2 linked regions of the Ovis aries genome follow. The protein of the gene in region 2 purifies or fractionates together with the protein of the main gene of each other region. This does not show direct contact. Links are inferred from orthologs where the notes say so. Each region holds a gene or a part of one and is shown on either strand. Other genes may lie near its edges.

Region 1 (3,811 bases), on a different chromosome or scaffold from region 2:
AGACCCAAAACATCAACAGCATCACATGCTGGTGAGGATGTGGAGCAAAAGGAAGTCGTTTATTGCTGGTGGGAGTGCAAAATGGTACAGCCATTTTGGAAGACAGTTTGGCAGTCTCTTACAAAACTAAACATACTCTTAAAACGCAATCCAGCATTTTTACTGCTTGTTATTTATGTAAATAGGCTGAAAATTTACATCCACATGAAAACCTGCACATGGATGTTTATAGCAGTTTTACTTGTAATTGCTCAAACTTGGAAACAACCAAGATGTCCTCTGTGGTACACCAAGAAAATGGAATAATCTTTGATGCTAAAAAGAAATGTGCTATCAAGTCATGGAAAGACAGAAATCTTAAATGCGTATTACTAAGTGAACGAGATAAATCCAAAAAGGCTACATGCTATATGATTTCAAATTATGTGCCATTCTGGAAGAGGCAAAACCATGGAGACAGTAAAAAGATCCATGGTTGTCAGGGGTTAGGGGTGAGGGAAGAATGAATAGGTAGAGTGCAGAGAGTTTTTAAGGTATGAAACTATTCAGTATGATAATGTGATGGTGTATTTATGTCATTACACACTTGTCAAAACCCATGGAATGTGCAACACCAGGAGTGAGTCTTAAGGTGAACCATTGCCTTTGGGTGATGATGTAACGTTACAGGGTCATCATTTGTAACAAGTACGTTTCTCTGGTGAGGGATATTGATAATCAGGGAGATTGTGTCTGTGTAGGTCCAGGGAGTATATGGGAACTCTGTAGTTTGCATTCAGTTTTGCTGTGAACTTCAAACCACTCTAGAAAATAAAATCTATTTTAAAAAATTCATGTAATGGAAAAAACTTTTCTCATTTTAGCTGTTAGGTCAGGTCTTCTGACATCTGCTGGTGTATTGCAATTCAGTTGTGACACTAACCACCTGCCTTTGTGTCAGAGTCCACAGGTGTAAGGGCTTGGTCTCCAGCAATACATCTGAGTGCCAGTCAGGCACCAGCTGCAAGTCAGGCTCCAGGACAACCCATACTTACGGCCAACTGGCTACAAATAAGGGAGTTCTGAGGCCTCCCCCAGACCGCCCTCACTTCACAGGCCAGGTGCAAGTTCAGACGTCTCCAGGCCACCTGAACTTCTCACCAACTGCTTATAAATGTGGGAGGTTACTGTAACTTCTCTCAGGTTTCCCAAGATGCTGGAACGACTCAGAACTCAGGGAAGTGCTAGACTTACACTTTTATTTAAAATTGTATTAATCAGGATCAGCTAAACAGACATTTGGTGAGGTCCTGAATGTAGAGCTTCGTGCACTCCTCTTCCCTCAGAATCGGGGCTTGTGGATGGGCTAACCAACTCAAAACTCACCTGCGCTTTGGTGGCCAGTGTTTTTATTGGGATTCCAGGAGAAGGCAGTGGCAACTCACTCCAGTACTCTTGCCTGGAAAATCCCATGGATGGAGGAGCCTTGTGGGCTGCAGTCCACGGGGTCGCTGAGGGTCGGATACGACTGAGCGACTTCACTTTCACTTTTCACTTTCGTGCATTGGAAAAGGAAATGGCAGTCCACTCCAGTACTCTTGCTGGGAGAGTCCCAGGGACGGGGGAGCCTGGTGGGCTGCCATCTATGGGGTCGCACACAGTCAGACACGACTGAAGTGTGTGTCTACTACTTAGCAGCTGTAGCAGTATGATGAAGACAGGATTGATTAAACACTGGTGGTTCAGTTGGTAAAGAATCTGCCTGCAGTGCAGGAAACCCGGGTTCGATTCCTGGGTCAGGAAGATCCTCTGGAGAAGGGAATGGCAACCCACTCCAATTCTTGCCGGAGAATTCCATGGACAAAGGAGTCTGATGGGCTACAGTCCATAGGATTGCAAAGAGTTAACACGACTGAGCGACTAAGACATGATTCAACTAAACCTCCAGCCTTCTCCCTCTTTGCAGAGTTTGAACTGGGCCAAAGTCCCAAGTCACATCTGGTCTTTCTGATGACTGGCCCCCTGCCTGTCCCATTGTCTTAGCACAAACTCATGTGAATTAAGGGGCTTATCAAAAACAGACTCTAATCAGCAGGGAAATTTTAAAGGATTTAGAGGCTCCTACCAGGAACCCAAGACAGAGATAAAACAGATTCTTAATTATCCAACACCAGGTTTTAAAAATGGTAGCCCTTGAGAAACCTGATAGTATTTTGTTTGCTTTATTTAATTTGAAGATATGCCATGGAAAGCTGAGATGACAGAAAAGTTGTTTAGACTTTATAGCTATTTAAAAGTTAATACATCATACAGTTTGAATTTTATATTTATGATTTTGTGCATAAATGTGTTTCTTTGTGAAAAAGGAGAGATGAGCCAGTAGGATTACATAGGATCCTTTCCAGTTTTTACAGGCTCACACTGTCTAATAGATGACCTTATAAAAAGATTTTTTTCTGGCCTGTGGTTGCTCTCTCAGACTCATTTTTCTATCTGATAGCAGATTATTTCAGAGTGTATTCACTTTCTCCAAGGAAATATACTTAGTTATGTTTTTCTCTTGCAGATTGATTATACCGGAACAGATCCTTCCAGTCCCTGCTATAAATGTTTGTCTCCGAATGTTACACCTTGTATTTGTACCATTAACTTCACACTGGACCAGTCATTTGAGGTCTGTATTCTAAGTAATGTCTTGGAAAACCCATGCTTTAAAAAATATTGATATTAATTATTTTTTACTAGTTATTTTCTTGTTGAGATGTCGCTTTAATTTATTGAGAGTCAGTACACTTTTGAGGAAGATTATTTTGTTTAGTTAGCGAATTATGCTGTCTGATAATTAAATGCATTAATAGTTTATTCTAATTGGTACTTAATAAGCAAAATTTGAAACCTATTTCTGGAAAATTTTATAACTGTACAAATCACTTTTGTATCAAGATTCTATCTACATATGTTTGTATTTAAAAAATTATTGCTCAAACTGTGTTGACTGCTTTTAATACCAACAGTTTTTACTTTAGAAAATAAATACTAATTCACACAGTTAATTGCATCATTTTTTAATCAGATCTGATGCTTTAACCTTTAACATAAGTGCAAACACTTAGTAAAACCTTACTGACGAGCAGTTAGAAAACTCTCCACAAAGTATGCAATGTGTGCGTGTGTGTGTGTGCGCGCGCGTGTGTGTGTGTGTGTGTACGCGCGCGCGTGCGTGGTCTGTGTGCTTTTTGCATTCACACTTGGCTGTCATTCTTGGAAACTGAGCCAGATGGTGAAGGACACACAGATTCAGACTAGTCATGGCTAGACCAATTTATGCTCTCCTTTACCTGGAAATTGAACTTTTAAAATGTACTGTTTTATTCTTCAGGGAGCAAAACTACTTTAATACAGGCCAATTTTTTGAACTTTTGTAGCTATGCTTTAGATTTTTTTAAAGGTACTGATGACTTTTGAAGTCCCTGGTAGATGGTTGCCATCTAGTGGTTATGGATGCTCTTGCACTGAGATAATGGACAATAAAGCTCCCTTTTTAAAAATTATAAAAATAAATTAGGGAGAAGACAGGAATTTAATTATTTTGTTTTAGCAGAAATAGCATAAATGTAAAACATCAGAAAAGTTTGATTTTTTTTAATGTGATGGACAAACTATAAAAATGCATTAAGTTCTGCTTTTGTCAAAACAGGCAGAATGAAAGACATGGATGAGACTTGTAATGATTTGGAAGCTCTATTAGTTTCCTCTCCCATTCGGAAACACTTAGGGTTTCAGAACTTTTCTTCCGTGAAGGTGATTGTCCTCAGATTCATTTTTTTTGTGG
Region 2 (4,293 bases):
CTCCAGCAGCCTCGGGGCACGCCGCAAAGTGCGGTGCAAACCGAGCGACGTGGGCGTTGGGATGGCCAATCTCAAGGCAATTTTAGCTTCGGCTTTCCTATGTAATGTTTAAAGTTTCGCAAACTCCAATTCTAAACTAGGAGCCGAGAGGGTAGAGCGTTTCCTGGCGAACAATTTTTCGCGTCCCAGGGAAGGTTCCAGGCATTCGTGGCTTTGCCTCGCAGATCCTTTTCACATTTCCCACCGCGGGGAATCTAAGGAGCGCTAGTGGCCTCCACTTCCAGCCCGAGCCGAGAACCGCGGTTCAGCCCTGAGATCTCAGCCGCTTCCTCCTTCAACCCTCTGGGCAAACCCAGAGCGGGCGAGTGGGGGAGCTCCCAGCCCGCGGTACTAGGCGGGGGCATGGCGGGACTACAACTCCCAGGCTGCTGTGCGAGAAGCAAAGGGGCGGGGGCGGGAGGGACGGGCTTGGGGTATAGGCGGGAGGGGTAGTTGGGGGTGGCAGGGAAATCCCGCCCCGCTGCGCAGCAGCGGCGACACAAAGCCTGACTTTACAACCTCAGAGAGAAAGTGGAAGTGAGATGGTTTAGATGGGGAGACAGGATGAGAAAAAACCTGAGGAGGGAAAGGCGCGTAGGTAGCTGAGCGAAGCGAGGGTAGTGGGGAGATCCGCGCCTCGGCACACGAGGAGGGGGCCTCTTATAACTAGTCCCCCGGCCCGCGCTCCGCCTGCGCTGGGGTCTCCACAGCGCCCCGCCGGTCCCGGCTCCTCACGCAAAGCCCGGCTCCGCCCCGCGGGGAGCGGGGAGCCCGGTTGCCTGGCGGGTTCGGGGCGGGCCGGCAGGCTGCACCGTGGCTCCCCGGCCCGAGTGCGGGACGGCCGGCGCAGCTGCCGCGGACCAAGGAGGGGCTGTGAGCGAAGCGGAGCGGCGGACGTATTAGGGCCGGGGCAGGGTAGGCTGCGGCTCCCGCACGAGCCGGGGAGTAGTGTCGAGGTGAGGCGCGGGGCGCCTCGGGAGGGTCCCCCGTGGCCGCGAGCGGGGCGGGCGCACGCGGGCTGACCGCGGAGAAGCAGGCGGTGGCTCCGCGGCAGGGTAGAGTGTAGACAGCGGGGTGCCGAACCCGCCGCTGGTGGAGAGCTCTGGGCGTCCCCCTCCCGCAGGAGGAGCCTAGCACTCCTCCGCCATCCCTCCCCCGCGCTTTCGGCTCGCTATCTCCGCGGGCTGCTGCGGGAGAGGCGGGGCCGCCGCCCCCGGCGCGGGGCGGGGCGGGGCGGTGAGTGAGGTGGGGCGGGGGCCGAGGGGGGCGGGGGGAGTTCGGAGGGCCGGCGGTTGGCGGGGCCGCGAGCCTCGCCGACCGTTTCGCGCCGCCGGCCCACGCCGCAGTGTCGTGTGTGAACGGCACCTTCTCAGACAGCCCAGTAGAGTCCAGCTCGGCGCCCGGCAGCCTTCGACGCGATGTTCCGCCGGAGCTTTAATCGTTTTGTAAGTACACTCGCTTCGGCTCCCCGCGTGTCGGTTCGCTTGCTCGCCAGCCCCTTCGCCCGGTCCCTCAGAACAGTTTCCTGAGGGGAAGACTGCGTCTCTGGGAGACACCAGCAGCGCCCGCTCTTACATTTTCACGGAAACGACGCTGCCCGGGGCGGTCGGGGTGGGGAGTCAGATAGGGCTCTCGGAGCACCCCGCCACTCCACCCCGACCCCGGCCCATTTATCCGGAGCTTCCCTGGGCTGTTCCTTACAAACTGCCGCGGACGGCGCGGGGGCGCCCTCCGAGCTGGATGGTGGGGGACCCCCCGGGGGGGACCGACCCAAGGGTCCCTCGGTGTGCCAGTTACTCGAAGATGGCGTTTTATTATCAGGGAGGTTGCTTTCTTTTGTTTCCTCTGCCATGAGCACATGGAGGTAAACCTAGACCTGTCACCGTGGTCCAAAAAAGCCCTGGGGGCTGAGGGGTGGGAGGCTGGGGCCGGGCTCAGCCGGCTGCTCACCCGAGGCCGCGCAAACTTTGGAGACCCAGCCTGAGCCTCTCACCTTGAGGGTTTAATAAAAGCGAGGGCGATCGTCGGGGTGGGCTGAGTCGAGGTGGAAACGCGAGGAGGCGGCACCGCCGCTACCAAGCGAGCGCCGGGGCTGAAGCCTCGCCGAGCACCGAACGGCCCAGACCTTGACCCGGGGGAGGAGGTGAGCTGCGGCTGGACGCCTCCGTCCACGTCGACTCCCCCTCCCCGATCCCCAGAAAAGGGAATTTTATTGCCGAGGAGTTTGGCACCCGGAAAACCGATTACTGACTTTCTTGAGTAACCTGTTCACTCCTAGAGTGTACGTGAAGAATGGAGTGAAACCGGGACCATCTACTTCTATGCTGCTATTAGTAGCAACTTCCTTAATTGCAAGATGAGGTGGCGGGAATAGGATTTTATTTCTGCCAGTAATGTGAAAGGAAGGATTCGTCAGTAAATGTGGATTTTTCTGGCCTTAGGAGAAATGGTTGAGTGCTGTGCGCGCCTACCAACCCCCCTTACAAGATCTGTTTAAGAACTTGTCGGTTTGGCTGTTTTCCTGCGATTATTCGTAATCGAAGCATTGCTAGCATTTTTCACGCTTTGGATGAATTTGCTCTCATTTTTTCTGCATTTGAAATTTTCACAAATGTACCCTGGCTAAACGAAGTAATTGTACGTCCCCTTCTAGGCTATTATTATCACAAGAGTGCTGTTAATGTTTTTCTAAAGGTTTACCTCACCAGAAGCATGTCTTATGAAATTGGAGCAGGTTTACCTGTGGCACAGCAATAGAGGTTGTTCCTATCAGGATTTTGAAATCCGTAGGAATTGGCTTGTACTGTATGTTTTGCTAAAGCAAGTGACTAAAATTGGTTTCTCACATTTAGTCTGAGAAGGTAAAAGAGCATTGTGCTTCATAGTTCTATTTCATGCAGATTCTTGTGATCCTGAGTGTTGTTTGGGGGTGTTAGAAAAGGAAAGGTGACAAAGAGGACTAATTGTAATATTTGGGAAGAGGATAATCTTTTCACATGGCATTCTTATACTGGAAAACAACTGGACTGTGGTTCGTAATATATTCGTTAGCTCAACATTGAGATGATGACTCCCCCCCCTTTTTTAAGGATTTAAAGATTTGAAACCAAACAACCAGTCTAAAAGTATCAGTCTAAAAGCCCCCTTCATCTTTCTTTTGCTCAGAGTGGTCTGCGTTGTTTGAGTCTAGTAAGGAAGCAGTGCTGGCCGGGGAAGGCAGGGCATGCAGTAGAATTTGCAGCAGTTGTTGAGGTGCCAGCCTGCAGGTTTTGAGGCTAGTACCTTGCATCCCCGTCCAAGATCTCTGCGGAGAATATGCTCACACTGAAAGGAGCTTTGACCTCATTGTTTCTGCTGGAATACTGGACTGCTCGCATTTTCCTGAGCAACCATGACTCTGGTTAAGTCTCCAGAATTTCTACCAGTGCAGTGAACTGAAAGCTTCTCAGGAGTTGTATCTGAGCCCTAGGCCTAGGGCAAGGAATTAATCTGCAAACCCTTGGACGGAATGTGAAATATACTATCAAATACTTACTGCTAAAGAATGACTTCGAAATAGTTGTGGGGGGGGGGGCGGTTTTTAGCTCCCGTAGTCAGTAAGCAAAATGCTGTCCTCATCTTTTCCTTGGTAGAGACTGAGTGGCACTCCCATTTACATCACTAGAAGGATACAACTAAAGATTTAGGTTCGTCCTTCACTTTTCACTTCCATGCATTGGAGAGAGAAATGGCAACCCACTCTAGTGTTTTTGCCTGGAGAATCCCAGGGACTGGAGAGCCTGGTGGGCTGCCGTCTATGGGGTCGCACAGAGTTGGACACGACTGAAGTGACTTAGTTTAGCTTGCCTTGCACAGTAATATAGATGTAGTCTAAGTTGTGTGCTTTTATATTTTGGAGATGGGGCTATGAATTCCTTTCAGAATTAAGTGTTTTTCTTGTGTACCCGTGTACATCTGAAATTTACTTTGAATGTAATATAAATTCCAGTGATGTTGATTGTAGTTCTTGGTCACAAAACTAGATACTACATGTTAGGAAAGGGCTTTACATTTTAAGGGCTTCCCTTGTGGTTCAGCTGGTAAAGAATTGGCCCGCAGTGCAGGAGACCTGGGTTCAATCCCTGGGTTGGGAAGATTCCCTGGAGAAGGGAAAGGCTACCCAGTATTCTGGCCTGGAGAATTCCATAGACTGTATAGTCCATGGGGTTGCAAAGAGTCAGACACGACTGAGCGACTTTCAGTTAGATTTTAAAC

The links.
Region 1: the proteins of ATP11C (region 2) and TMEM30A purify together in Homo sapiens (co-immunoprecipitation; 4 studies listed by BioGRID and IntAct, with this or other methods). This does not show direct contact. The link is inferred for Ovis aries from reciprocal best matches to the Homo sapiens genes ATP11C and TMEM30A.

What each region holds. Positions count from the first base shown.
Region 1 is NC_056061.1:2,071,630-2,075,440, reverse strand, and holds part of TMEM30A (cell cycle control protein 50A), read left to right. Parts: intron 1-2,545; coding exon 2,546-2,653; intron 2,654-3,811. UniProt on the Homo sapiens protein: Accessory component of a P4-ATPase flippase complex which catalyzes the hydrolysis of ATP coupled to the transport of aminophospholipids from the outer to the inner leaflet of various membranes and ensures the maintenance of asymmetric distribution of phospholipids.
Region 2 is NC_056080.1:95,503,202-95,507,494, forward strand, and holds the start of ATP11C (phospholipid-transporting ATPase IG), read left to right. Parts: upstream 1-1,312; 5' UTR 1,313-1,457; coding exon 1,458-1,484; intron 1,485-4,293. UniProt on the Homo sapiens protein: Catalytic component of a P4-ATPase flippase complex which catalyzes the hydrolysis of ATP coupled to the transport of aminophospholipids, phosphatidylserines (PS) and phosphatidylethanolamines (PE), from the outer to the inner leaflet of the plasma membrane.